Linked DNA regions of Cricetulus griseus. The protein of the gene in region 1 purifies or fractionates together with the protein of each later gene. This does not show direct contact. Links are inferred from orthologs where the notes say so. Each region holds a gene or a part of one and is shown in the gene's direction. Other genes may lie near its edges. The genes, in order: Polr2c, Rpap2, Med26, Rprd1b, Ctdp1 and Med9.

The links.
Region 2: the proteins of Polr2c (region 1) and Rpap2 purify together in Homo sapiens (affinity purification with mass spectrometry; 3 studies listed by BioGRID and IntAct, with this or other methods). This does not show direct contact. The link is inferred for Cricetulus griseus from reciprocal best matches to the Homo sapiens genes POLR2C and RPAP2.
Region 3: the proteins of Polr2c (region 1) and Med26 purify together in Homo sapiens (affinity purification with mass spectrometry; 3 studies listed by BioGRID and IntAct, with this or other methods). This does not show direct contact. The link is inferred for Cricetulus griseus from reciprocal best matches to the Homo sapiens genes POLR2C and MED26.
Region 4: the proteins of Polr2c (region 1) and Rprd1b purify together in Homo sapiens (affinity purification with mass spectrometry; 3 studies listed by BioGRID and IntAct, counting the BioPlex papers as one, with this or other methods). This does not show direct contact. The link is inferred for Cricetulus griseus from reciprocal best matches to the Homo sapiens genes POLR2C and RPRD1B.
Region 5: the proteins of Polr2c (region 1) and Ctdp1 purify together in Homo sapiens (affinity purification with mass spectrometry; 3 studies listed by BioGRID and IntAct, with this or other methods). This does not show direct contact. The link is inferred for Cricetulus griseus from reciprocal best matches to the Homo sapiens genes POLR2C and CTDP1.
Region 6: the proteins of Polr2c (region 1) and Med9 purify together in Homo sapiens (affinity purification with mass spectrometry; 3 studies listed by BioGRID and IntAct, with this or other methods). This does not show direct contact. The link is inferred for Cricetulus griseus from reciprocal best matches to the Homo sapiens genes POLR2C and MED9.

Annotation. Positions count from the first base shown.
Region 1 is NC_048596.1:171,083,268-171,087,164, forward strand, and holds part of Polr2c (DNA-directed RNA polymerase II subunit RPB3), read left to right. Parts: intron 1-380; coding exon 381-449; intron 450-583; coding exon 584-636; intron 637-2,308; coding exon 2,309-2,437; intron 2,438-2,760; coding exon 2,761-2,812; intron 2,813-3,028; coding exon 3,029-3,197; intron 3,198-3,315; coding exon 3,316-3,390; intron 3,391-3,499; coding exon of another isoform or gene 3,500-3,530; exon of another isoform or gene 3,531-3,678; intron 3,679-3,897. UniProt on the Homo sapiens protein: Core component of RNA polymerase II (Pol II), a DNA-dependent RNA polymerase which synthesizes mRNA precursors and many functional non-coding RNAs using the four ribonucleoside triphosphates as substrates.
Region 2 is NC_048600.1:2,362,316-2,367,188, forward strand, and holds part of Rpap2 (putative RNA polymerase II subunit B1 CTD phosphatase RPAP2), read left to right. Parts: intron 1-2,213; coding exon 2,214-2,328; intron 2,329-3,337; coding exon 3,338-3,436; intron 3,437-3,638; coding exon 3,639-3,704; intron 3,705-4,873.
Region 3 is NW_023276806.1:247,287,843-247,293,473, reverse strand, and holds the start of Med26 (mediator of RNA polymerase II transcription subunit 26), read left to right. Parts: upstream 1-2,061; 5' UTR 2,062-2,106; coding exon 2,107-2,178; intron 2,179-5,631. UniProt on the Homo sapiens protein: Component of the Mediator complex, a coactivator involved in the regulated transcription of nearly all RNA polymerase II-dependent genes.
Region 4 is NC_048599.1:21,515,933-21,520,805, reverse strand, and holds part of Rprd1b (regulation of nuclear pre-mRNA domain-containing protein 1B), read left to right. Parts: exon of another isoform or gene 1-2,099; coding exon 2,100-2,275; exon of another isoform or gene 2,276-3,363; intron 3,364-4,654; exon of another isoform or gene 4,655-4,791; intron 4,792-4,873. UniProt on the Homo sapiens protein: Interacts with phosphorylated C-terminal heptapeptide repeat domain (CTD) of the largest RNA polymerase II subunit POLR2A, and participates in dephosphorylation of the CTD by RPAP2. Transcriptional regulator which enhances expression of CCND1.
Region 5 is NC_048595.1:234,863,933-234,869,481, forward strand, and holds the start of Ctdp1 (RNA polymerase II subunit A C-terminal domain phosphatase), read left to right. Parts: upstream 1-2,083; 5' UTR 2,084-2,315; intron 2,316-2,321; exon of another isoform or gene 2,322-2,774; intron 2,775-5,549. UniProt on the Homo sapiens protein: Processively dephosphorylates 'Ser-2' and 'Ser-5' of the heptad repeats YSPTSPS in the C-terminal domain of the largest RNA polymerase II subunit. This promotes the activity of RNA polymerase II.
Region 6 is NC_048600.1:74,078,115-74,081,989, forward strand, and holds the end of Med9 (mediator of RNA polymerase II transcription subunit 9), read left to right. Parts: intron 1-930; coding exon 931-1,147; 3' UTR 1,148-2,485; downstream 2,486-3,875.

The DNA of each region.
Region 1 (3,897 bases):
TCGAGCTAGCCCTGTGGAGGCAGTCTGTGGCAGCCTGGCCTGGATACCATCAACCCTAAAAACAGTGATTCTTTTCTTTCTTTTATAAATTTGGTTGGTTGGTTGGGTTGGTTTTTTTTGGGGGGGTGGGGTGGGGTGTTTGGTTGGTTGGCTGGTTGGTTGGTTGGTTAGTTGGTTTTTTTTTTTTCAGGACAAGGTTTCTCTTGTAGCCCTGGTTGTCCTAGAATTCACAGAGTTCTGCCTGACTCTGCCTTCCAAGTGCTGATCACTAAGTAATACTTAAGTCTTGAGAACAGGGCTGTATGTCTGGAGATGCTGGAGGATGTCAGATTCTCAGATGGTGGTTGGTCTCACTTGTGCTGTTTGATTGCCTTTTCCAGCCATTGACTGGGTTCAGATTGATGCCAATTCCTCAGTCCTTCATGATGAATTCATTGCTCACAGGCTTGGTAAGTTTGGGCAGGGCATTGAGAAGTGGAAGGGATTAAAGGGGGGGTACCTCCTTTCCCAGCCTGAGGGACTTACTTGTAGGTTCTTGTGATGGCTTAGCTGTACTACAAAACAACTTTTCTGTGTCTTGCAGGATTGATCCCCCTCACTAGTGATGACATTGTGGACAAGCTGCAGTACTCCCGGGTATGTGTGTTGATGGGTAGATTGGAGGCACAGGAAGGGGGGTTCAGGAGGGACTGACTAGTTCTCCCAGAAATCTTTCTTCCTACGTTCTGACTATAGCATAGTTTAGAAAGCCATTGTGGAAGTGATATCTTAATACTGTGATCTTTGGTTCTGATGTGTTTTCAGCACATCCAGGCATCTTATCAGTGTGCCTCACAGAAGGGGACACACCCTGGAATGCCAATAATTCTCGTTTTAAAGATAGCTTTTTCACTTTTATGTGTGTATATGTCTGCTTCTGTATTGTGTGTGCAGATGGGTTAGGGTACTGGAAAAGGTCAAAAGAGGCCAGCAGAGCCCCTGGAGGAGCCCCTGGAGCTAGAGTTACAGGCAATTGTGAGTTGCTAGATGTAGATTCAGGGAACTGAGCTCAGGTCCTCTGCAAGAGCAGCAAGTGCTCCAGACCTGCCTCCCCAAACACATTTGTTTTTGGAGGGTGGGTTTTTGTTGTTGTTATTTTGTTTTGTTTTTCTATATCTTTTTTAAAGATTTATTTATTACAGTGTTCCACCTGCATGTATCCCTGCAGGCCAGAAGAGGGCACCAGATCTCATTGCAGATGGTTGTGAGTCACCATGTGGTTGCTGGGAATTGAACTCAGGACCTCTGGAAAAGCAGTCAGTGCTCTTTAACCTCTGAGCCATCTCTCCAACCCTGTTTATTTATTTATTATTTTTTTTAAGACAGGGTCTCACTATGTAGCCCTGGCTGGCCTTGAACTCCCAGAGATCTGCCTGCTTTGCCTCCTGAGTGCTGGGATTAAAGACATGTACTACCATGTCTGGCTGAGAAACGTTAATAAAATGCCCCCTTTTTTCCCCTCTGTAGTTACCAAATGCTAATGTTTTATTACATTTGCCTCATTTCTTATATAGTGTTATCTTCCCCTAACCTTTTAGAAAATAAGTTAGAAGCATCCTGAGCTTTCTCCTGTAAATACTTGAGCACATGTCAATGTGCTGTAATCCTATATGCCTGTATCCCACTATTTAGGAGACTACCTAGTGAGATATACCCTGTCTAGGAATGTACAAAACACCCCAAAGAATGGCAGATGTTGATAATTAAGAGGCTGGAAGGTGGGTATGTGATAAGTGGCAATCAGTCCTCTATGTTTTTGTATATGGGTGAAATTTTCTGTAAGAGGTTTTGAAGTAAAGATTAGCTGAATGCCTGTATAACCCTAGCACTTGGGAAGTAGTAATGGGGGGATCTGTAGTTTAAGGTTCATCTTCAGCTATGTAGTGTATTCCAGGCCAGCCTGGGCCACATGAGGACTCCCCACTCCGGGTAATCTAGAATTTGAAAGGTTCTTGCTCGTTGTAATTCCCAAGTTGGTCTGAGTATCACTGCAGGTAGAAACTATAGTCCCATAACCACCTTGGTCATCTGTGGCAGTGTGCCCCCTAGTGGTAGCCTATAGCCATGGCCATGGCAAGGAAGTGTAGTTGTCAGTGAGTAGATGGCATGTCCATAAGCTTGAGCAACCATGAGGATGGTGTACCAGATGTCACAGCCCAGAAGAGGCCTGAGACTGTGGTCGGCCCCTTATTGCCAAGAAGAAACTGAAAGGAGCTGGTCAGTAGAAGCAGGGAGTCTGGTCTGTTTATTCCTACTGCCCATCCTTCAGGACTGCACGTGCGAAGAGTTCTGCCCTGAATGTTCTGTGGAATTCACCCTTGACGTGAGGTGCAATGAAGATCAGACTCGTCATGTTACCTCTCGAGATCTCATCTCCAACAGCCCCCGGGTTATTCCGGTAAGTGCCTTTGCTTCTCCCTTTCTGGCTTCAAGTGGGACAGATTGGAGTGGATCTTTATGAGATGTCATAAAGTCACCTGTCCAGTGACCATCTACTTTAACTGCCACCTGGAAATGCTGGTTCCTGAGTGCTTGAACAGAGCCATATTGGTGCTAGGTGCCCTATGTTGTTCTAGACCCTCTTAAAGGCCATCAGGCTGTTTGGACAACTCTGCCACCTCCGTCTCAGGCTTCCTTTCCCTGGCTTGACAGACTACAGCCAGAATTTACTGGGAGACAGTTGCCAGAGGGGACTGAGAGGTTTGTTTGGACTTCCTACAGGTGACATCCCGGAACCGGGATAATGACCCCAATGACTACGTGGAGCAGGATGGTAAGAGGATGGGGCAGGGTAGTAAGGAGGTTGGGTGAACATGCTTGTGGCCAGAGAGTGCAGAGGCCAGATGCACCCTCTTGAGCTGCCTGGTCTCTGTCGCTCATCTTTAGACTGTTTACCCAGATGTGGGCTATCTTCATCTAGGACTGCAGGTCAGAAGTTGGAGGACTGGCTGCTTTTTGTTTCCTGGCTCATTCTCACCTTTCCCTGCAGACATCCTTATTGTCAAGCTGAGGAAGGGCCAGGAGCTGAGACTTCGAGCCTATGCCAAGAAGGGCTTTGGCAAGGAGCATGCCAAGTGGAACCCCACTGCAGGGGTAGCTTTTGAATATGATCCAGACAACGCACTTAGGCACACGGTGTATCCCAAGCCTGAGGAATGGTATGCTCTGTGGGGGAAGGGGCACTAGCACTGGCTGTAATGAGGGGTAGGGAGGTGCTCCGAGGGCCTTGCTAAAAGCAGAAGTCACCACTTGTGCTTCACCCATGCTTACCCTCAGGCCAAAGAGTGAGTACTCCGAACTGGATGAGGACGAGTCACAGGCTCCCTATGACCCCAACGGCAAGCCAGAGAGGTAAGAACCCGGTCCTGCTTGGGACTATAATTGTAAGAATATAGGTCTGGGAAGCTGTTAGGCAATCACAGCTGTTATCCAACCCCCCTCCTTGCCTCCCATGTGACAGGAGAACTGTCAAATTCATATATACATTCTGAGTTGGTCTTCATCCCTCTCTGGTCACCATGAAGAAAGGGGCCTTTTTATTGCCTCATGCTGTTTCTGGCCTGCCTGTTGGGGCTCACACCAGAGCAGAACTGACTGTGCGTAGCCCTGCCCTGAAGAACTGAGAGCTGAAGAGCTGCAGCCAGTGTCATGTGTGATTTCTTTTCTTTTCCTGCTGTCTCTCTCTGGTGTAGAATTGCACATACACAGTCATTTTAGAGTTTTTCAACAATGCCCTCTTTTGCGGGGAGGGGTTCAAGACAGGATTTCCTCTGGGTAACAACCCTGGCTATCATTGAACTCGCTCTGTAGTCCAGGCTGACCTTGAACTCATAGAGATCCGCCTGCCTCTGCCTCCCA
Region 2 (4,873 bases), on another chromosome or scaffold:
GAATGTAGTAAATACCGACAGATATTATCCATATGTGAAAAAGCTCTAGTTTTAAGAATATAAAGGAATCCCAAGACCAGAATGTTTGAGTACTGCTTCATACACCACTGTCTTAGTCAGGGTTACCATTGCAGTGAGGAAACACCATGACCAAAAGCAACTTGGGAGGGAAGGGTTTATCTGGCTTATACTTCCACATCACTGTTCATCATCAAAGGAAGTCAGGACAGAAACTCCAACAGGGCAGGAACCCTGAGGCAGAAGCTGGTGCAGAGGCCATGGGGAGGTGCTGCTTACTGGCTTGTCCGAAAGGCTTGCTTAACCTGCTTTCTTATAGAACCCAGGACCATAAACCCAGGGGTAACATTACAGGCAATGAGCTAAACTATTCCCCCATCAATCACTAATTAAGAAGATGCCCTACAGGTTTGCCTACAGCCCAAAACGTTATAGAGGCATTTTCTCCCATCAAAGTACTAACCAGGCCCAACTCTGCTTAGCGTCTGAGATCAGATGAGATCGGGCATGTTCAGAGTGGTATGGCCGTAGACTATAGAGGCATTTTCTTAATTGAGGTTCCCTCCTCTCAGGTGACTGTAGCTTGTATCAAATTGACATAAAACTTCCAGCACAGCCATATTAGTTTTCATCATTTGTGACAGAAGGAATAACACTGAGACAATACCCATTGGAAGCAGCTGTAGGTATCTGTCAGTCAGGAAGACAATGGCTCCAGACAGTGTGGTTGATAATTTGAGCCAGCAAGTTGATAATGACTTTTATTGATGGGTGCAAAACTGAGAAACATAATTTTTCATGAAGCTTTTCATGTTAAATATGAAGAACTGTAATCTGTGTTTATATCTTTTGTATTTCTTTGATGCAAAAGTGGTCTTTATGGAGTTAGTGATTGCAGCTCGGTGGTAGAGTGCTTCCTTAGCATGTGCAAGGTCCTGAATTCCATCCCCATTATCTCAAAATAATGGTAAAATGATCTTGATGAAATGGTAGGGAAAAAAATAGGTGTTTAGTTTCAGAATTCCCATTTTAATATATGTATTATAAATACGAATTGTTGGCAAAACTACCTGACAGCCAAGTTGGGGGGAGGGGCATGCTGCTCTAGGCAAAGTGTTTAAAGTCTCAGAAGTTAATGAAAGCAGGGAGAACACTTGGGATTGCCAACTGGTCCAGATGTCAGAGGGAGGGGTAAGCACTGGTGACAGCCAAGGTGGCATTACTAGGACACTCATGACAGCGGTGATTCTCCATTCTGGGCACGGTGTGTAAAAACATCTCACACAGTCTTGCAGCAGAGCTTGAGAAGCTCTGCTTATGGGTGGGGTTGCCTAAGGAGATAGCCTGGCTTTACATCCCATGTGTGAGGGCCCACAGGGACTGACAGGATCCCATTCCCTCAACTACATATCATACAGTTACCTAGCAAGACTCATAAAGTGAGTGCCTTTCCCCCCAGACCTAACTGCTCTGTTGAACTGAGATGTCACAACCTCAGCTCTTGACAGAAGTTTCTGTGTGTGAGGAAAACAGAAGTCAAGTCACCTTTTCTTTGTTTCTTCAGTCTTTCTTTCTTCAGAAAGGTGGGGTGAGCCAAGTATGTATGGCAAAAATATAAACTGAAAGCAAAAAAAATCCATGCTCTTTTAAAATATAGGTTCTTCCTGTGTAGTCCACACTAGCCTTGGACTCTCATTCTTTGCACCTCTGCCTTCCAAGTGCCGTGATTATGGACATGGACTACCATGCCAGCCCCCCCTTTTTTTATAGGTGTCTGGAAGTGCTTCCTTGTGCTCTGAGCCTGGAAGTAATCCTTGTGATCGGCTTCCGTATATACACTGTAATGTAATGAATTGTTGCTTGCTATTTGGAAGGTATTGGGCGAGAAATGGCAGAATTAAAAACTATAATTTTTTTTCAGCAAAATAGTAACTAAGGTTAGTGGTGGCTTTTAAAGCATGGAGTGTTGGCTGTAAGAGAAGTCTTTTTTGTTTTGTTTTGGTTTTTTTTTGAGACAGGGTTTCTCTGTGTAGCTTTGGAGCCTATCCTGGCACTTACTCTGGAGACCAGGCTGGCCTCGAACTCACAGCGATCCGCTGCCTCTGCCTCCCGAGTGCTGGGATTAAAGGCATGCGCCACCAATGCCTGGCAAGAGAAGTGTTTTAAGTGGACTAAGTTTCTTGTTAAAATTTCAGACGGGCAGAACTAGAAACTGCGGTGCAAAGGAAGGTGGAGTTTGAGAGGAAAGCCATGCACATTGTTGAGCAGCTTTTGGAAGAGAACATCACAGAGGAATTCCTAAAGGAGTGTGTATGTATTACATTGACAGATTACCAGATTTAAAATAATCTATTAAAGACTTATTTATGTGTATGAGTGTCTTTGTACATATATTCATGTATGTACCTGCACTGTGAGTGCCCACAGTCCGGAAGTGGTCGTCAGATCCCTTGGAACTGGAGTTATAGATGGTTGTGATCTGCCCAACATTGGTGGCAGGAGCTGAACTCAGGACCTTGGCAAGGGCAGCGAATACTCTAAACCACTAAGCTGTCTCTCCAGCACCATCATTTTTTCTTTAAATATATGCATAGGTATGTGTGAATGCATGCCACGTATGTTCAGTTACCTGTAGAGTCCAAAAGAGGGCACCAGTTCCTCTGGAACTGCATGGTTGGTAACCAAACTCAGGTTACCAACCTGGCAGAGCAGCAAGCGTTCCAAACTACTGAGCCATCCCTCCAGTCCCCAAGTCTAGCACGCTTCAGTCTATGCAAAGTGAAATTTCTTCCCACTATTGGAATCTTTAAATTTTATTTTAGTCCTTAGATACATGATGTATAATTTGTCTTTTAAAATTATCAACTGTTGTAGTGTTTCTTGCTTTATGATGACTTTAAAATGAGCTAATAAGTAAGTAAGTATACTTACTTATTATAGTATATATATAGTATATAGTATATATATTATAGTAAGATAGCTGTAGTTACATGTAATGTGTTGTTAAATTTATTTTTATTTTCTCATGGGGTGGGCATACATACCATGACCCACATGTGCCACAATGTGCATGTGGATTCAATTCTGTTCTGCCATTGTGGGTTCGTCCCAGAGGTGAAACTCAGGTTGTCATGTTTGGCAGCAGAAACCTTTGCCCTCGGAGCCATCTCGTCTGCCCAGAAGAATTTAAAATACCATTGCTCTAAGTGTTACTGTACATCAAACTTACTGAAGTACTTTTCCTTCTCATGCCCCTCTAATTCTGCCTTCACAGCTGTGAAGTGGGTCCCACTAACCTGTCGCAAACATTCCACTGCAGGGGATGTTCATCACTCCGGCTCACTACAGCGATGTCGTGGACGAGCGGTCCATCATCAAACTCTGTGGCTATCCTTTATGTCAGAAGAAGCTCGGAGTCGTAAGTACTCTTCTTCTAAGTGTGTTTACTAGTTTATTAGTGTTGTAGAAAGAACAGGAAGTAAAGCCCAAGATCATGAACTAATAACTTGGGTTGGCCAAAAGTATTAACTATATATATATATATGACTTAATTGTATATGACGTAAAGCTTGTGTTCCTTACTTAAATTCTCTAGTAAATGATGCTTTATTTTTCTTTAGATCCCTAAACAGAAGTATAGAATTTCTACTAAAACCAATAAAGTCTATGATATTACTGAAAGAAAGGTAAGTTCAAAAGCTGTTTTGATGTGGCAGTTAATTTTTTTAAATGATGCTAAATAGAACTTTAATTTTACTTTAAAATTTTCCTGTTAGAAAATAACTACATGAACAGATTTAAACTATTTAAAACTAAGGTACTAAGAAAAATTCTTGCTTGAACTTTAACTAAGACTTAAAGCTGGGTATGATGGAGGTGGGAAGAGTCTGGAGTCCATAGTTTTCTCAGCTATCAGAAAGTTTGGGGCTTCTCTGGGCTACCTCCCTCCAAAAAAGATTTGAACATTTAAAAACATAAAGTGCATGTTGCTGTAAGTACAGGCAAGTAGTATATCGGGAAATGAAGGATGAACCTGGATGATTCGTCACATACATGACCCCTTGATAGATGGCCACAGGAGTATGGGGGTGAGTGGAGAAAGGATGGGTTTTTCAATAGCTGGAAAACTACTGGTTTTTCAGTGCCATAGTCAGTTGTCCAGATGGGAAACGTGAGAACTGACTATATACAAAGTATACGTCTATATACAAAGTGGGTGGAGAGAACTGTGTACAGAAAACACACCTCTCAAGGCTGTCAGAATTTGAACTTGTACAGAAAATTAGAAAAGTGTGAAAAGCTGACATACTTTCCTTTTTAAATTTTAAAATTTTTGTTCATTAAAACAAATGAGAAAACAGCCGGGCGGTGGTGACGCATGCCTTTAGTCCCAGCACTCAGGAGGCAGAGGCAGGCGGATCTCTGTGAGTTTGAGATCAGCCTGGTCTACAAGAGCTGGTTCCAGGACAGCCTCCAAAGCCACAGAGAAACCCTGTCCCAAAAAACAAAACATAAAAGCAATATTAATTAATCCCAGCACTCGGGAGGCAGAGGCTGGGGCATATCTCTGAGTTCAAGCCAGCTTGGTCTACAGAGTGAGATCCAGAACAGGCAGGGCTCCACAAAGAAACTCTGTCTTGAAAAAAATGAGGGGGGAGGAGAGAACGAACAAGTGAAACGTGTGAAGTTAGATTTCCTACAAATCCATGACCAGAACACGTTGAGAAAAAGGGAAGGCAAGCTAACGCAAACATTTATACACAGGAGTAAATGGTTAGTGAACACATGAAAACATGCTCATTTTCTTTAGTAGTTGGAGAAAAGACTAGTCTAAACACAGTGAGCTGGTTGTACA
Region 3 (5,631 bases), on another chromosome or scaffold:
AAATTGAATCATTTCCAATATTTTTCCTAACTTGACCCATGCAAAAAACCACCAACAAAGACAGGACACACCACTGAATGAACAATTAAGATTGTAGGTCTACAGTGCAGTGGGGCCCTTTTAATCCCAACTCTTGGATCTCTTCGGGTTCCAGGCCAGCCTGGTCTAGAACTGCATAGTGAAACTCTTTGTAAGGGGGAGAAAAAAAACCAAAATCAACTATTAGTAATCAAAAACAGCAGGCTGGCAGGTCTGTAATCCTACAACTAGAGAGGCACTGGCAGGAGAATATTTGAGGCCAGCTCAGGCTGTTCAAAAGCCCTGTCTCAAAACACTGGTGAGATAAAATGTATCTTCAAACCGGGCGTTGGTGATGCTTACATTTAATCCCAACACTCAGGAGGCAGAAGCAGGCGGATCTCTGAGTTCAAGGCCAGCCTGGTCTCCAGAGAGAGTGCCAGGATAGGCTCCAAAGCCACAGAGAAACCCTGTCTCGAACCCCCCCCCCCCAAAAAAAAAGCGTCTTCAAAATGGGCTGCTTGGACCATGAGCTCCATCTAAACACGTGCTAGGGAGTGTATGTAAGAAGTACGTTTTCGTTCTACTAGTGTAACGCAGGCTTCTGCCAGGTGCAGAATTAAACAAGCCATGATAAAGCTTTTGTTTGTGGAGGGGAGAGGGAAGGACAGGTTCTGACTTTCCGTCCTGGCTGGTCTGGGGCTCACTGTGTAGACCAGGCTGGGCACGAACTCCAGAGATCCTCGGGCCAACCGAGCACTGGCATTAAATGCCAGGCTCTCCCTCCCCCTCTCCCCCATCCCCCGATCCCGGCTAACCCTCAGAAGTATAACAAATTCAAAATTAACAGGGGTCGCCCAGCTCTCAGGAGCACATGTGGTTCCCATTACCTGTTTCCCTTCCGTTTCCAGTCTGGATCTTTAAGGTAACCTCGGAGCCCGCCGCCCGCCCGCCCGCCCTCCTCCCGTCATCTGCAGCGGAGCTCCGGGTCACCCAAAGACGGGGGGTCGGGAGCCCGACACTTAACATCTCGCTTCTCTTGGTGTGGCCTAAAACTCCAGGTGGTTCTGACGCTTGCTTTCCTGCTCGGTGGGGCGTTCCTGTTTTCCAGCACCTGAGATGCAAAGCCAACAGGAAGGGGCGGATGCCGGGCTGCAGCCCCGCCACCTCGGGCACGGCGGTCCCTCCGGCCGGCGACGCGAGCGGCGCTTCCTCCTGAGCGGGTCGCGCAGGCCCTGTCGGAGGCGGCGGTGCCCTTAGGTCCCCTCTGCGCGGGTCATACGGGGACACGCACTGCCCCGCAGACCCGCGCCTCCGGTTTCCACCGCGGCGGCGGCTGCGCAGAACTCTCCCGAGGTCCTCGCGGCGCGGGTCTCCTTGGCGTCGCTCCTGAGCCGGGTCCCAGCCCCCGGCTGCGGCCCTTCATCCGAGGGGAGGGTCCTCCTTCTCCGCACCCCCGAGGCAGCCCGGAGGAAGAGTCCAAGCTCCAAGACCCAGCGGGTGCGCTTCCGTTAGGAAGCTCCGCCCACCGGTTTTTCGGAGTGGGCGTGGCCTTTAGACAGCGTCCGTTGCCCCGCCCAACTGCCTCCCAACGGCTCTCTGGAACGGGCCATGGGGCGTGGCGACGCGACCTGATAAACGCGCGTGCGCGCGCATGCGCAGAGGCAACAGAAGCGGCTCACGAGCCGGCCCCTCCCAGAGCCAGAGTCTCCGCCCGCCCCCATCTCCCAACCTCCTCAGCGTGGCGCCGACGCTGCGTGCGGCGCGGGTTACCCAGAGTGCTCAGCGCGGGGGCAGCTCACTGGAGTTTGGTTCTCGAGGCGGCGGCGGCGACGGCGGCGGCGGCGGCTTCTCCGTCGGCTCCTCCTCCCCCCCTGCTCGCAGCAGCGGCGGCGGCCCGGGGCCCGAGCTCCGGTCCCCTCCGCTTCCCTCCGTCTTCCGCCATCTCCCCGAGCGCCCCGACCTCCTCCGGCGCCGCGGGGAACATGCGGCTCCGTTCCCGGAGGCTGGCGAGCGACTGACCCGCGTCCCCCCGCCCCAGCCCGCCCGCCCGCCGGCCCGGCCGCTCCCCCCCGCTTCGCCCAGGCAATGACAGCGGCTCCGGCGTCTCCGCAGCAGATGAGGGACCGGCTGCTGCAGGCCATCGACTCCCAGAGTAACGTAAGTGACTGCTTGGAGAACGGGGACCGAGGCCGCATGTGCCGGGACCCTCCCCCTCCGACGCGCCCCCGGCCTGGGGGCCTCTCCCGGCGGCGCCCTGCCCGCCACAGCCGTTGCCATCTCGGCCTCTCGTTCTCCCGGGTCCAGGGGCCGCGGGCAAGGCGGGCAGCCCGGCGACTCAGGGTACCTGAGGCCGAGGCTTCACGCGGCCTGGACTGAGGGATCGCTCGGAGCCGAAATCAGACCTGGTTCTCCTCGGTTGCCTCGGCCAGATTGTCCTTGGTGCTTTCCACCTTGCCTCCCTGTCTCTCTTCGACCCCGGGACTTGAGACCCCCCGGAAGGGTCTCCCTACGGGGGTCAAGGTGGGAAGCAACTAGTGTCCCCCGATGACTCTGGTAGCCCGCGTCTCCCTTCGGTCTTCTGGCTGAAATCGTCTTCTTGGGCTCGGAGAGAACCCTAGGCCCTCCTTGTCCCTAGTCTTGCTGCTTGGGATCCCTGGAGAGTTTCCCTTCTTTTCTGATACTGGACAGACCCCAGTTTAATCCCTCCAAGGGTCGCTACCTAGGAAAGACGACCCTGCAGAAGGTGGGATCCTTCCTGTCACCTTTCTTGGCCTAAATGTCCCATTGTGTGTCTGACAAGCCTGGGGTTTTGGTACTGAATTCCTGCTCATCACAGTCGATTGTTCTCTCGCCCCTATTCTGGTCTTCTTTCCATCTCTCTTGCCCCACCTGAGGGACTCGGCCTGGTGTTTGGTCTCTAGGCTGTCAAGAGTTAACTGTATGGGGTCACTTTATGTCACATTTCCCTCTGCTAAGCGTCCTATGAGCAGAGGGACACCCTTTCTTCCTGTGTGAGCATAGGCTAATCTCACCTGTTGTGTTTTTTCCAAAGGTTTGTTGGCAGTGTAGGGAGGGGGTGAGGGTCTTTGTTCCTGGAAGCAGCAGGGCCATGAGAAGATGCACAAGCATCCAGGTATGAAGTGTTTGCTGGGAGACCAGGAAGTGGCCTTTGAGATCACTTTTTAATATGCTCAGGATGGAAAGAAAAATCATCTTGGGCTTGGCCAGGTAACTGAGGTTTGAGCAGGGAGCTCTTTTGGTTCCCTTACTTGTGCTTGGCTTGTTACTCTTAGTAATGTGCCATATTCTGGTGTGTTCCAAGAAATTCACATTAGTTGTGCAGTCTTGGTAGAAATGGAGGTTTCCTGATCTCTGGAAGAATCTGCTTGCCAGATTCAAAGTAAATCTCTTCTTCCTGATCTTGAGGCCCTATTAAGATCACCTTGATACTGATTTAGCCAATATTTTAGACATTTTTGGTGGGTGGAGTAAGGACAGGCTAGATAAAATCTTCTAAAAAGTCTTTTTTTTTTAAATGTTTTTTAAAACAGTGACTGATATTACTGCAATTACATGATTGAGATATTAAAAGATACAAACAAGTGATGTGAAAAATGTAACCTCAGTGGCTTTTGCATGTTTTCTGAAGCTACAATGTACACAGTGGATTTTTTTTTTTTTTTTTTTTTTTTTTTTTTTTTTTGAGACACGGTTTCTCTACCTGTAGACCAGGCTGGCCTCAAACTCACAGAGATCCACCTGCCTCTGCCTCCCAAGTGCTGGGATTAAAGTTGTGCGACACCACTGCCAGCATCCACAGTGTAATTCTTAAGTCCTGTATGTTGACTCGTGAGAAATCACCAGGGATCCTGACTGCTGCCTGTGAGAGTGCTGGGATCAGCTAGTGCTTTGATAGGCAGTAATGATGCTTCGCTTCAGGTGGGGCAGCCTTGCGGGTAAGGCTCTGACTAAAGGATTCTTTTGGGGGTAAAAGAAGGAAGATAGAGGACTCAAATTTTAGTGTGTGAGTGTGTGTGTGTGTGTGTGTGTGTGTGTGTGTGTGTGTGTGTGTGTATTAAGACAGAGCCTCTGGAACATACTATGTCCTTTGCCTTCCGAGTATTGGGATTAAAGGCGTGGGCCACAGTGCCTGGTCCCCAAACCTTTGCTTTTTGAATCTTACCTTGGGCCTAAGTGTTAATATACTCCTTCACCTGTGGGTAAGTTACTTGGAGTGGAGTGTGTATCTCAAAGGGCTATAGGGATAAGTGACCTCATTGTGATGGCTAGAGTTGAGAACTTGTCTCTTAATGAGGAGGGAAGTTTTTCTCTAAATGCAGTGTATCAGTAACTATTCATGAACACTGTCATGTGCTGGCTTTGCAGGACCTCTTTGTAGAACTCAGCCTGGAGGACTGTCCTTGATTTCTTCCAGAGGCATTGAAGGGTACTTTTTCTGGATTGTTCAGGGCCCAAGTAAGAGCTGTGTGCTGGCACAGGGCTCTGCTCTGCCCAGTTATGAGCTCTACCACTTGGTAATTGACACATATTTAAGATGTTCATGGAAAAAAATACAAAATGGGGACACAGTTGAAGAGCTTACACTAAAATTAACCCTCTTGAGAGAAAGTGACAGAGATTGGTGTCATGTAATGCTTACCTTTATGAGTGCAATCATAGCTAACAAATTTAGCTGTTGCTTGGAAAGTCAGTGCCAGGCAGCTGACCTACTGTCCACAGTCTCTGAAATTGGGAGCAGCTCCTTGACCAAGGAGGTCTCTAGAGGAAGGCCAGCTCTGCTGTGTGTTCTAGCTTCTGAGCAGCAAGCACTGTCCTTTCTGCCAGGCCTGTACTTCAGGAAGTCCCCCCTCCCTTCCAAAAGGCCGCTAATGGACTTCCAGAATTGTGGAAGTTTCAGTCACCTCTGTGTGTGTTAGTTCAGGGAGTCAACAGTCTCTAATGTATACTGCACATCTGCTTGTAGTCTTGTGTTATGAATAAAGGTGAGGGGTATGATTTATTCTTTCAAAGACATCATAGTGAGTCCCTCTTTGGCCAGTGACAGGGTTCTTAGTCCCTTGGTGCCCTCCGTGTTTGAGGAGAGCCTGGGCTGTGTCTACTTGAGACAATGGCTCCTTGTGGATGTCCGTGTCTCTCCTCCTCTCCTGTAGAAGAGTCTTGCTCCCTTCCTCCATGCTGGATCAGTTTTTGAACCTGTGACTGAGAATTAGCCTTCAAGCCCCCATTTTCTGAAGAATCGCTGGGACTGTTCCATGTCTGTGGAATGGCCTAACTGGAGCCTTGGTGACTGAGAAAATCACCCGTGGCTTTAGATATGTCTGTGGGGAATGTAGGTGTGATCTTGAGGCTAACAGAGTTCACTTTTCAGGACAGTGGAAGGACGGTAGAGCCTCATGGAAAGAAAGCTAAGTGGTCCAGGATGGGGCTTTCCAAAGCAGGTCTGTGGCCCTGGGTGCAGAGCAGTAGGAGGCCTGAGAAGGCTTATGAAGGAGGACTTGATCCAACCACTGCCAGGCTCTGGAGAAAGAGATCCCAGGAGTCACTGCCTTCCTCTCATTCCTGAAGAAGCAAGCACCATGACTGTCATTT
Region 4 (4,873 bases), on another chromosome or scaffold:
TCTCAGCACTGGGGCCCTGTCTGACTCAGACCTGTATAGCTCCCATGCATGCTGACACAGTCTCTGTGAGCTCACATGTGCATCAGTCCTGTTGTGTTTGGAAGACACTGTTTCCTTGGTGTCCTCCATCCCCACTGGCTCTTACAACATCAGGGTTCCCTGAGCCCTAAGGGGACAGGTTTGATGAAGACATCTCATTTAGACCTGGTTGTTCCAAAGTCTCTTTCTCTCAGTACACTGTCCAGTTGTGTCTCTACTAGTTCTGTAGGAGGACGCTTCACTGATGGTGGTTGAGCAAGACACTAATCTGATTCCCAGCCTGTGGTTTTGTGTAACCCTTGAGTGATAAAAAGCAGTTTCTGAGTTCCAGTTACTTATATAAATGATCTAGTTTCTTTATGCAAGTTCTCCAGGGTGAGAATTTATTTTTTTATCTTAAATCTTAAAAAATAGTATTTCCTTGCCATTTTGCCACAGGTACTCTAGCAATTACTCTTATAAAGAGATCAGTAGTCTAGGGCTGGCAAAGCTGAAAGTAGCCACTCAAGCTTGCTCGCTGGCCGAGTTGCCAGTCTGTGCCGAGTTGGTCCCCTGCCCTATGTCCCAGGCCCTCTTCCCACCTTGCTTTGCTCACTCCTTCCCTGGTGTGTGTTCTCTAACCCAAGGTGGGGGGGGCATCAGAGAGCCCTCAGCAGTTCATTTCCCGGTATTCACAGAGGCAAGTAAGGACCAGGTAGCTGCTCTATGCTGGAACTTCCTAAATTCCATTGCCTGGAGGAACTGTGTGTGGAACTGCTGGCAGCTCTGGTGCCCTCTGCTTCGAAGCATCAAGCTACTATTTCCACCCAAAAGACCTTTTTGCTTTTATTTATTTTTAATAGTTTTTTATTTATGTGTATATGTGTGCCTACATGAATTTACATGCACCACATGTCTGCAGGTGCCGAAATTTCATTGGATCCTCCAGAACTGGAGTTACAGGTGATTGTGAGCTACCTAATGTGGGTGCTGGGGACCAAATCCAAGTTCTCTACAGCAGCAATAAGTGCTCTTAACCACTGAGCCACCTCTCCGGCCCCCAAAAGACCTTTTAAAGCAACATGCACATGTTTACATTTACACCATCACCACACAATTGCAGCAGTTCCTTATGGATCTAAATCATCCTTTTGTCTCTGCTCATTTGCTAGGCCAGCCTTTGTTTAGCACTTCTTTATATTCTTACACTTCAGTGCTTGCTCTTCTCTCCCCAAAGCATGGGTGACAAGACACATTATTTGGACATGAATTCAGTCTTCTCAATAATGATCAGCACTTTAAAAATGCAACACTGAATATTTTGCACATATAAGAAAAAGATATTTCCCCCTTCTTTTTTCTGTTTTGTTTTGTTGTTGTTGTTTTTAGGATCTTGCTGTATAAACAGGATGACTGGAATTTGTGGCAGTTCTCCTACAAGTATGAGCCACCACATGTGGTACTGCTTCTTTTTTTGTGTTTTTATAAACTATTTCCACTGAGGGTCATGTTCACATACATTTGAAAGACCCTTCCTCCTTTTCAGACCCTATATTTTGTAAGTGTGGGAGGCAAGCTCATTCCCAGGAGCCAGCCTTTTTCTCTGGTGAACAGAGTTCTGCAGATCACCTTCTGAGACCATATTTGAGCCTCTCATACAACTCCTGTTTTCTCTCAGTCTCTCCACGCCCAAGAGTGAGTGCTTGCTCTGTTACTTTAGAACAGTGGAAAAAGTATTCTTAGTGCAGTAATAGAAGCAAAAACACTTCATCTTCTCAGAGGCAAGGGAAATCATTTCACAGATGACCCTAAATATCTGTATGCTGGTTGTTTGGAGAGCTTTTGCTGGAAGCTCTTTTCAGCGTGCCAGCTTTCCTGCCCCATCCAGTTGTCTTACTTCAGGCAATTCAGAAATATGTCTTGTTGACAGAGTTGGCACCTTTGGATTCTTGGCTGGCCAGCATTGTTGGTTCACAGGTTCTGGTTTATTCTTGGATTCTGTGAACCTTCTTTCAGGAATGTTTGCAATCATACCTATGTGATTTGTATGTTGTCTGTTTTCTGCTCTTATTTGTACTCAGACAAAGAGGCAGCTGAACGTCTTTCAAAAACGGTAGATGAAGCATGTCTCTTACTAGCGGAATATAACGGGCGCCTGGCAGCGGAACTGGAAGACCGGCGCCAGCTGGCTCGGATGCTGGTGGAGTATACCCAAAACCAGAAAGAGGTTTTGTCAGAAAAAGAGAAAAAGCTAGAAGTGAGTACATTGCAAAACAGACCCAAATTGCCTGAATTGCCCTTCCTATAGCCCATTTTATTCCTGGATTAACCTTTATTTTTATCTTCTGAAAATGAATGAGATAGTAGTATCCATCAGATAACTGTGATTACTGTAGCCTAGTTAAGAGTTGAAGTCATGTTTTTAACATGTCCAGGAAAGAAAAACTCACATTGTGAAAACAGTGGCCTCTTAGTCACAGCATTTAGGATCTTAAAGTTGCTTCACAGTTTAGAGTTGAAAAATTATAAATTGAGATACAGAAGGGTCAGCAAAAGGTTATATTTGGGAATCTGAATTGTTTTGAGGTTTATTTCTGACATATACACATGCTTGCCAGTAAGCCTCCTGCCTACAAGCTCTTCCTGTACATATTCTACAAGTTCAGTTGTGTTTGTGTAGCCTGATTCAAACTGGGCAGGAACCCATTTTTCCTGTGTTGAGAGCATGTGTCTCGGTGTGTCCAGCAAGAAAGGGTTTAGAATCCCCTCACCATCTGCTTCTTAACTCAGCTTAGCTCCTTGTCCTTGGGAGCAGAGCCATCAGTGTGGCTGTTGGGGTTCCATCTGCCCCACATTGTTGGACTTAGCAGTTTCTTAGCAGTTTCTCCTCTGTGTTTCTTGGGAAGGACAGAGGGGTCTGAGTTAGAGAATAACTCATAATGATCACAAGAAACACCTCATGAAGCCCCCTTAGTAGATAAGGGAGTGGAAGGCCACCCTTCTCCCACCAGGGAAAATTCTCTGACACAGAGGGAGGGAACACTGAGCCAGCTCTGGTGATTGTTGCATTGGTCATTCTGTGGTCAGCTGACTAGAGAGGGAATGCCATGTCCTTCCCTGCAGTGATTATAGAAGCTGTGCTGTGATAGGTACAGGTGCTAGGAGCTTCAGAGGTCTAGCCAGCCTGAGTGTGGAAGATAGGAGACAGCTGACAGTAGTATGGCTTTCCTGTAGATTCAGCACTGACCAGAACCCTAAAGGGAACGTCATCAGCAGGAGCAGACGGCCATTTGTCTGACGGGCTCATCTTTCACTGAGGAAGCATTTCAGCATAGTACCTTGGGACTAATAAGAGATTGTAATTAATGATTCTGGTTGTAAGTCATTGTGCCATCTGTTGAACTGCCCCTTGGCGACACATTAAGGGCTTTCTCTGATCTGTCAGACATTGATTATCATGAGCAGCTGTTGTTGGGTGGAACGTGACAAGCACCATAGAGGACAGTCTTTGAGAAGGAGACAGTTGGTAGAGCCTGTTAACTCTTTGTTCTGTCTCTTCCCCAGCTGCAGTTAGCTGTCTGGTTCATAGGCACAACAGGTAGTGGATGCCCCAAGAGGTTATGCGGCATAGAGGTCAGAATTCAGTCCATTCTGTAGCTTTGCAGTCTCGTTGTTGCTATTTCACAGAATGGCATGGCATTGGAACTCAGCAGTTGAGGATGGATTAGGAGGACCCTGGTACTGCAAGGCAGCCAGAACTCAACCAGCCAACTGGGCAGGGCCATTCATTATGAAAATAAAAAGAAGTTTGCTGCATTTGAAAAAGCAAATGACTAGATAAAAATGTAAGAAGCTGACTGGTGGCATTAGATCTTTATCTGTGCTTACTAAATACATGAACAGTCTGGTCTTCTGAATCTGCCATTTCCTCTCACACCTTATAATAGACAGATCTTCATTCTGTCCTGACGGTGGTGGTAATAATACCCCGTGTGCAACTTGAGAGAAGCCTCAATGCCTCAATCCCTCCGCCTCCCTTTCGTAATGGTTGGTCCTGAACACTGCCAAATCAGAAGACTAGTTAAATCTTGTTTGGAACCTTTCATTGCCTTCAGTGTGTAAATGCCACAGTTTATGGGCTCCTGCATGTACAGGTGCTTTCTTGGGAGTCTTTCCCCACAGCTCAAATTTGTCAACACTTAAGTTTTTCTACATTTTATTTGTTAGCTTTGTATTTTCCTTTAAATAGCAAGCATCTCCTCTTCCATTAAGGACTTTATGTTGGTTTCTAGTGGCTTCTGAACCTTAAAGTGGCAGAGGTACTGGGTCAGAGTTCAGAGGGGAGGAAGACCCATTCTTATTGCATTTCAAGAATGCTGGTGTCAACAGCAAAGGTGAATGTAAAACCAAACAAGTTAAGACAGGTGACAATTCTGGTTGTGGGTTAAGCTAACCCCTGATGGGAAATAAAGCCTTTTTGAAAAGGAAATGGCAATTGAAGGAGGACATATGTTTATAAAAGGGGAGCAGCCAGAGGCCTGGACAGGTGTGTGAAGAGAATAAAGTGTATGGACAGAGGCACTGGAGACCCCATGTGGAGCTGGGGTCTTGTCTTTATGGAGTCACCAGTCTGTACCTGTTCACTGATGGACACGCACGCAAAGAGGGGTAAAATGTGCCTCTTCCAATAGCAGTTCTCCTCAGGAACAAGGGGTTTCACGGATGTCCAGAAGCCTGCTTACTTTCTTCAGTGACTTCCCTCCAGGGAGAGAACTACAGAAGCAAGGAGTCAAAGGGGAGTATGAGAAAGCTTAGAGGAAGTGAAATCTTCCAGCTCATCATATCCATACTGAAA
Region 5 (5,549 bases), on another chromosome or scaffold:
AGAGGAACTTATTTGATGGCAGAATCTGACATGAATTGACATAGAATAGTTTCATACATTTTTTTCTGTAATGTTTCATGAAGATGCTGTTTCTACTTGCAGATGATAAATTCACATATCAATTTCTTAAAATCTGAAAAATTATGGACTCAGAAACCCATCCATTCCTAAGATTTTATGATAGAGGGTTGTAGCTTATGATAAACTTTCCTGGCTATGGCCTCACCTTCTGCAAACTAGTTACCATTCTTTCTAGTGATTAATAATTCTCACAATCTGTCTGATACTCACGTTTGTCTCAGCTTGTACAAACAAAATAACTCCCTGGTGAATTTGGGCTGTAGGTCAGAGGTCACACTCCCACCCCAGTCTCATAATCTGGTTACACTATTACAATTTATTTTCTTATTTACTGGTGGACTAGTAATAAGAAACGTTCATTTCCGAACACAGTAATCCTTACTTGGTGTCTCAGGGAAGCTACCAGTATGAGGAAACATTGTGCCCAAAAGCAACTTGGGAGGGAAAGGGTCTATTTCCACTGACACTTCCACATCACTGTCTGTCTTAGTTAGGCTTGCTGTTGCTATGATGAAACAGCATGACCAAAAGCAAGATGGGGAGGAAACAGGTTTATTTGGCTTGTATTTACATTTCATAGTTCATCATTCAAGGGAGTGAGGCAGGAACTCAAACAGGGCAGGAACTTGGAGACAGGAACTGATGCAGAGGGCATGGAGGGATGCTGCTCACTGGTTTGCTCTTTCGCCCTGTTTTCTTATAGAACCCAGGACCATATGGACTGAGCTCACCCATATTAGTCACTAATTAAGAAAATGCCCTACAGACTTGCCTACTCCCCAATCTTATGGAGTCATTTTCTCAATTGAGGGTCCCTTCTCTGATGACTCTAGTGTCAAGCTGACATAAAACTAGCCAGTACACTGTCTGTAGGAACTCAATCAGGGCAGAAACTGAAGCAGAGGCCATGGAGGGGTGCTGCTTACTGACTTGCTCCCTATGGCTTGCTCGGCAAGTTTTCTTAGACATTCCAGGACCACCAGTCCAGGTATGACACTACCCACAATAGGCTGGGTCCTTCCACATCAATCATTAATTAGGGAAATGCAGCACAGACTTGCCTATAAGCAAATGTTATAGAGGCCATTTTCTCAATCGAAGAACCCCTCTTCCCAAATAACTCTAATTTATACCTGCAATGTATAACGTAGAGGACCTATCAATGAACTGTGGCATCCCTTGGAAACCTATAGCAGTTTTAAGCAAGAGTATGTATTCACTTGGGTTTGTTTGTATGTTTTGTTTTTTTCGAGACAGGGTTTCTCTGTGTAGCTTTGGAGCCCATCCTGGCACTCGCTCTGGAGACCAGGCTGGCCTCGAACTCACAGAGATCCGCCTGCCTCTGCCTCCCGAGTGCTGGGATTAAAGGCGTGCGGCTTCACTTGGTTTGTAAGCCAGAAAAACAAACTCCCCGCACACTATTCGCTGCACTTTAGGCAATTCGTTGGAGCACAGCCAATAGGAACAAAGACCCGATGGCTTTGCAGAGGATGCGGGAACAAGTGTAGGCATCTTTGGGACAAGCGTGCTGGCGCAGCCTGGGACACCACTCAAGCTTTATGAGAGTGCTATTTGATAGGATTCGGAAACTGCGCAATCTCCAGCCAGAGATACTCCTGGCTTCCACTTGTAGGCTTGGTGAACGCTCCAAACAGGACCCGATAGGTATCAGCATACCACAGTCCGGGAGGGGCGGGCGGGCGAGGTGGACACCCTAAACCAACCGTAGCCCCACACTAGAACTCTACTCTGAAAACAGCGCCAGCTCCGCCGAGCACCGGACTAGGGCAGAGCCGATTGCGACCAGCAGACACTCAGTCTCGCTGCTCCAGGATTCGCAGTGCACCACGGGAGTGGTGGGACCGGGGTTCGCGTTGCATGCTGGGAGTGGTAGTTCCTCTCCACGTCAGGACTACAGCGCTGAACGCTTTTAGCAGGCGAAGTCTCCGGTGGTCGGAACTCGCAGTGTACGACGGAAGTGGGCGCAAGACTCGCGCTGCATGCCGGAACCGGTAGTCTCGATGCGTCAGGATTTGCAGCGTGTGACCCAAGTCTTGTGACAGCGACCCGCGTGGCACGTCTGTAGTCTCAACACCGCGGACCGGCGCCCGGCGGGTGTAGACCAGCGCCTCCCGGCTTCGCGTGGGCCGACTGTTTACCCGCGGCGGGAGAGCACGCAGTCACGCGTCCGCACGCCGCCGGCCCCGCCCCGTGACGTAGCACGCCTCCCGGAAGTGAGTGCGCAGCGAGCGGCGGGTGAAGCCGGTGTCGGAGCGGGAACCGCAGTGTCGCCGCCCCCCGCGGTGGGCGCCGCGCCCTGAGCGCCTGTGCTTCCTTCCTTACCTCCGTTGTTCCGACCGCCCTCGCCGCTCGCTGGGTCGCGATGGAAGCGCTGCCGCGGCCGGCGTTCCGCCGAGGGCGCCGGCGGCGGCCGGGGCAGAGGTGCGCTGCCCGGGCCCCACGCCGCTGCGCCTGCTCGAGTGGAAGGTGGCGGCGGGCGCGGCGGTGCGCATTGGCTCGGTGCTGGCCGTGTACGAGGCCGCTGCCTCCGCGGAGCCCGCCGCCCCGGCCCCGGCTCGCACCGCCTCTGGGAGCTGTGTGCGCGCCGCGCGCACCGAGCGCAGGCTCAGGTCGGAGCGCGCCGGCGTGGTCCGTGAACTGTGTGCGCAGCCAGGCCAGGTGGTGGCCCCCGGGTGAGTGTGCGGGGACCCGGGTCTCTGGGGTCTCTGGCTGCTGCTGTGGCTGGCCGTGCGGGGCCCCGAGGGTGCTGCGGTGTGACACTGTGTATAGTAAGATCTTCTCAGACCCGACGTACTTTGAGTTTGAAAAGTTCTCGGTGACCCAAGGTTACCCTTTTGGGAAATGTTTTGCATTCGTCCCTCTTCTGTAATTGGTGGACTCCACCTTGGTAAGTGAAGGCAACTTGGGTGGCTGTGCCCACAGGACTACTCAGGCAAGTTCCAGGCTCGTTACTGAAATAGAAGCTGTGGGGCGTGTGTGTCTTTAAACGCTTATAAAACTTTGGGAAACGCGGTTGTAAAACCCCGGTGATGATTCTGCATCATAGCCACGGAAAGAGAAGGACCCAGGCAGCATCTCGGGTGATGGGTACTTGGTTCTCAAGAAATTGGAGGACTCTCTTTGTTGTTCTAGCTCTACGGGATCTTGAATTGGTTTGATCTGCCACTAGTCTGGCTTTATGCTTGATTTTGCCAGTGTTGTGTGTTAAACCTGAGTTAACACGTGGGCATGTGTGTCCCATGGCTGTGATTGTTTTGGTTGTAACTAGCAGAAACTACTGGGGGAGGTGAGCCCTCCTGCCTACAGTGTGTTGGGCTGGGAACTTCCCTCTGAAAACATTCTTTCTGTTCCTCTTCTGGTATCCTATGCTTCTTTGGTACCTATCCTGCTTTTGAGTATTTGCTGCCCATCATTCTCCATAAGGAAAATTTCCATTTTCCACTGGTCTTCTCACAGACTGAGATCCCTGCCTAGCTGTCTTCCTGGTCACTCCTCCTGGTGCATCTTTGTAGATGCTGTCTGGCTTCTTGGCCTGTGGACCTTGCCCCTTACTCCTGCCCACTATGCTGGAGGGTGGTGTTGCACAGCTACCAGAAAGACTTATTTGGGGCTGACCCCCCTTGAGAGAGCTGCCTGCTTGGCTTCTTCTGGGAGGACAAGGCTGTGGGCTTGGTAGGCACTGTTCCTACATCAGAGAAGCTCCTATCTCAGCTTCACCTGGGCCCTCACTAGCAGCAGTGGTACCCTGCTTTTGAGTAGAAAATGCCCACAATGAATGTCTCATTTCATACTGGTCCCCGTGGCAGCAACACTAAGGCCCAAACAGGTTCTACCATTGTCCCACCACTCTTATAAATCAAACCTACCTGGTTCATTACCCAAGGAGTCAGCAGAGTGGCTACCAACTGGTAGCCTCTTGACTGTGAAAGTAGTGTCCCTTCTCAGATGGAGCATTTAGGTGTCCCTGGAATGATTATTGGAATCCTGGACCACTCACGGTACATGTACCACCAGTTCAGTGATGTCAGTTGAATTCCTACTTTTGGGAAAACCATTAGCAACATTACTTTGATAATTTTTAAAATGTTTCCTTCCCATTTCCTATTGTGTGCATTTATGGACAGTGTTTTGCTAGCATTCTGGGGACTATTGCGGTGAGGTGGCATGCATATTTCCCATAGTTCTCCTGTGTGCCTGCATGTACACGGTGACCAGTGTGAAAGATCCAGGAAGGAGCAGTTAACAAAGCCTTAGTTTAAAGCTCTGTTTCATGCCCTGTATTGATCCTAATAGTTTCTTTGGAATAAATTTCATGGCTGTGGGTTGCCTTTCCCAGTTGAATTCATGGGTGTTTGCGCCATTAACTTACTGACAAGCAGTAAGTTTTTGGAACTACTGGCTCTTGGGAACACCACTTAGGCCTCCCCAAAATGTCATACTTTTGTAGAACAGAGTTTAAAAAAAAAAATCACTGAGTTAAGTCACACCACTTAGTAGAGAATTGTCTTCATACAGCATCCACTGAGAATCTGTACAGAGGATGCTACCAGTAGCAGTCAACAGAGCTCTTCATTTACAGTCTGTACAGGCTTTTGTAGCACACAGATTTCAGCTAAGTGGGTCTTGGCTCCACAATTTAGTTGTACAGGTTGGGTATCCTTAATTCTAAAATCCAAAGTCTAAAATATTTCAGTATCCAAAGCTACGGCATGCTTGCTTTTGAGTTTTCCAACGTTCAACATGTGAGGCCTATATAAACATACCAAACTCCAAATGGCCCCCCACAACTGCAGCACTTCTGGTCTCTAGCATTTTTGAATGAGGGACTTGCATATTAGGAAGTCTTTCTAAAGGATGTGTGCATTTCCCTGTTTGAGAAGACTGTGAGTAGTAGATACCATTTGATCCTGGTATTGAGTGATACTTGCCATGATTGTTAGGCCTTAGTCAGCAAAGAGCTGCTTGGCTCACACCAGGTACCCTGAGCCAAAGTCGTCTGTTTTTAGAAGGATTTCTGTCTCTGGCTGCAGCCTCATCCAGTAGCAGTTCCATCACAACAGTGGCTTCACCCAACGTGGGGACCCAGGAAGAGAGGATATCAGGAAGAAGTCGCCATGCCTTATAGGCCTAGATGCTTACTTCTCTCTGAGCACATATCAGAATCACACAAGTACTTTATAAACAATTTATCAGAGCAGTACTGGAAGTTTGTTCATGGTCTCAAGTTCTGGTCTTCCAGCAATACTGCCCCCCTTTGTTCTTAGTTCTGGGATTACAGATGTGCACCACTGAGTTTGACTACAAAATCACATGGGAGAGTCAGCATTTACTGACATTTGCATTAAACCTTTGTAGAGTGATTTTTGGATGGTGGACCTTAGAGGCCCCCCTCCCACACACACACACACACATACACACATACACACTTAAGTCACATCTGCTTATAT
Region 6 (3,875 bases), on another chromosome or scaffold:
GTAGAAGAGAGCATATGTCTGTTGAAGAATTTCAGTGACTTGTAGCTGAGTTAAATTCATGACTAGCTCTATGGGAATTCATTTTTATGTTAACTAAAGTCTAACCCAGTACCATACCTCAGTGAAATGAAGGTCCTGCTAGCTCAGAGTCTCCTGGTTGGCCTAGAAATGGCTTAGATCAGGTGGAGTGGAGTATGCCATCAAGTTTGTTTTTTGTTTTGGGTAGTGATCTGCTGGTGATTGGTAATGGTGTATTCATTTAGCATGGCTGTGGCCATGCTTTCCAGGCATTCACTCTTTTGACAGGTGGTGTTTTGAAAACTTAATTTGTATATTGTATGTGCATGTGTGTGGTAGGGAGGCTACAAGAGGGTACTTGGGGTGCCTTGCTGTATCACTCTTCACTGTATTCCCTTGCATAGAACTGAGGCTTGCTATTTTGGCTCATTGGCTTCTGGGATCTGCCTCTTTATGCACCCCACCCCTACCTGAGCTGGGCTTATAGACACTTGTGCCCCTGCTTTTACATGGGCGGTAAGGCTCCAAACTCAAGTTGTCATACTTGTACAAGCGTTCTTATCCACAATTAGTTCTTGAGCATAGTGTTCTATGTATAGGGCCAGACCAGCGAGACACCTGTGATGAAGCAAGCTCAGTCCTTGCCCTCAGGGGAGCAAGAGTATAAGTATCTGATTTGTCAAGTGTGCTAGTCAAGGGAATGTTTTTATGGTCTAACTTAAAGCTAAGGAAAAAAACCAAAATAAACAAAAAGACCAAACCCTGTCTTTTGGGATAGGCAACCTAGTCAGGGGACAGACATGTCAAACAACATTCTGAAAGGTATCAGAGAGTATCAAAGGAAGCCATTGTAGAGATGAGCTGCACCTGCTAACTGACTGCCTTCTACCCCCCACCCCTTGCTGCCCATAGCATGGACAAGGACAGCCCAGATCTCCACCAGGACCTGAATGCTCTCAAAACAAAGTTCCAGGAGATGCGGAAGCTCATAGGCACCATGCCTGGCATCCACATGAGTCCTGAGCAGCAACAGCAGCAGCTTCACAGCCTCCGGGAGCAAGTCAGGACCAAGAATGAGCTTCTGCAGAAGTACAAGAGCCTCTGCATGTTTGAGATCCCCAAGGAGTAGGACCAACTCCCAGGACAGCTGCCAAAGAACTGAGAACTTCACACCTGTGCTGTCCATCTCCTTGGGAGCCCAGCTCTAAACTGGGAGGCCACATATGGCTGTTGTGGGGCCTCAGTGGCTGTACTCAGCCTTGATTAGCTACGCTCTGGTCCCATCAACAGATCTGGAGGGCACAGAAGGAGAGGAGGTGGCTGTTCCCTTCTTTCCTTTGGCTCCTCCCACTCCCCATATCATCAGTGCATATCTGGTACATACTGTTCCTGTTAACAGCAGTTTCATGAAGCATTTGCATAGAATTCATGGGATAAATTAGACCTGCACTCAGATGGCATGGATTTAATATAATTTTTAAAGAAGGCTGGGAGAGTGTGAACATTGTTTTGAAAGGCCAGAGGGTGGGTGGCTTCTCCCCCAAAACTGTTCACTTCCTTTTTTGTTTGAGCTACTGAATGAAACTGTATCTCGGGGGCGTCATCCCAGAGCCCTGCCAGCCAGCCACCAACTCCAGTTTCCAGCCTCCTGCACACTAGCCTTATAGGCTCTTGCTCCCTTTATCTCCATCACTCCAGGCAGTGCTCAGAATAGCCAAAGCACTGCTTGCCTGGGGCCTTTTGTCCTTCCCACGCTGGCTCAAAAAGGCTGTTGAGCAAGCAGCTCTGCCCTGATTCATAGGCCCTGGCTTACCTCGTCATCTCCTCTCTAACCAGGGAGTCAGCCATATTTGCTACCCTGCACATGGTCCCTGCACACTTCTGGTTTAGAGCAGAGTGGCTGGAAGGGGTAATCAGGGTGGTTCCTCAGCCAGGTGTGTGTGTCGTGAGAGTCAGGTCTGTAGGGCAGGGGTAGCTAAGCCTGGAGGTTCTATAGCTGTGTGCTAGTTGTAGAGTGTGCTCTGCTAGTCCCACGTGGGACTGTCACACTGAGGGCAGGGTGGCCCTTCGTCCTCTCAGGAGTAAGGTGGGAAGTACCCAGTATTGTTTAGATCTTGAAATGGGCACGGTCTGGGCTGACCAGTGTAAGACTTAGCAGGTGCCTGCCAGCTGGCCTTGTTGGCAGGAGTACTGGCTGGGAACGTTTTTAGCAGGGGTTCTGGTGGCATTGTCTATCCAAGATGCCTCACAGTTGGGCCTGGGATGTGTGAAAGAGGGTGTTGAGTTCCAGTGGTTTGGACAGAAAAGTGGGCTCTGAGTTTGAGATGCAGGAGCTTCAGATCCTCCTGCTAGGCAGAGACAGAAGGCTCCTTAGAGGGCCAAAGGGGATGGAATCTTCTTTGCTCCAGTGTGCTGACCTGTCACATTTGCAGATACGGAATTAAAAGTGTGCTCTACTCTCAGGATACAGGGTTTGCCTACTGTCTTTTTTTTTTCAACAGTGCTAGGAGTCAAACCCTGGGAGTGCAGGTTTTATAATAAAAAATTAGAAGGGAGTGTTGGTTAGGCAGTGTAGAGGCAAAATGTTCTCTGTGCTCCTTCCCCCACCCAGCATGTGTACCCATTAAACTGCATAAAAGCCTGCATGTCTCCTGCAGGGGACCCTGGGCAACCCAGCCATCCATTGTTGAGAAGTGAATGCCTTTCTGTGATTTGAGAGGCACAGTTCCTTGGAAGTGGCCCTTCCTAAAGCAGGATTGAAGTCCTACCCCCAGGACAATCTTGAACATCCCTTGAAGCTCAAGACCCTCTTGAAAACCACCAGATACTTGGTTCATGGGTACAGCAGTTGTGCTGATCCTGAGATACTATCATGAACACCCCTCCCCCCCCCCACACACACACAGAGTGCCTCTGTTTCTCAGCTGAAGAATTAGAGATTAGAGGCTTGGAAGGTGAGGCCTGCCCCAAGTTGACAGGAATGGTGAGATCTGGGCCACAAGCCATGATCCCTTGGCCACAGAGGGAGACAGCAAAGTGCAGAGGAGATGGGCCTCACCTGGTGAGTGCTTCTGGGGGCTATACGGGAAGCTATCAGCACTTTGCTGGATCCTGGGGCAGGGGATAAACATCTAGTACTGGCATCTTCCCAGATACAACTCTCAGGCTCCTTATTTGTGGTAATCAAGGTAAGAGTTTCAAGACTGACTGCTTTCTATAGCCTGCCACAATTGAGTAACAGATGGGGCAGTGGGGAAGGACACTATATCTTTAGAAATGAGGCCCTCTGTGACAGGCCAGGAGGATAGGTAAAGGATGGACAGAAAAAGCCAGAAAGGTCTAGAGCATGTCCCACTTGGAAGCTGGGAGGCTGTTTTCAGAAGGCAAGGTCCCCCCCACCCCCCCAGTTCTGCTTGGCTACTGCCACTAAGGCAGGAACCCAACTCCCTAAAAGCAAGAGCAAAGAAAACCTTGTTTTCATTTTTTAATTATTTTATTTTAAATAAAAAAATAATAAAGACCTCACACAATACTTTGTTCATGTCATGTTGACACTGGAACTAAATTAAAGTGCAAGTTTTATGGTTTTTTTCTTTTGAGCAATTCCACACACATACATGTAAACAAGTCTCTTGCCTATGATTGAACCCCCCCACCTCTCGCCAAAGTTTCCAGTTTGCAGAGGACTGAAGTGGCTGGCAGCTGTCATGGCAACACCAATCACAGACAAGATAATGCCTTGTTGGTCCTGGCCCTCCAGCAGGCAGGACAATTAGTTACTTGAAGTCTCACAGGCTGACGAACTTTACACACTCTCGTTCTCAGGTCTTTGAGAAAAAACGCAAAGTACTTCTCTG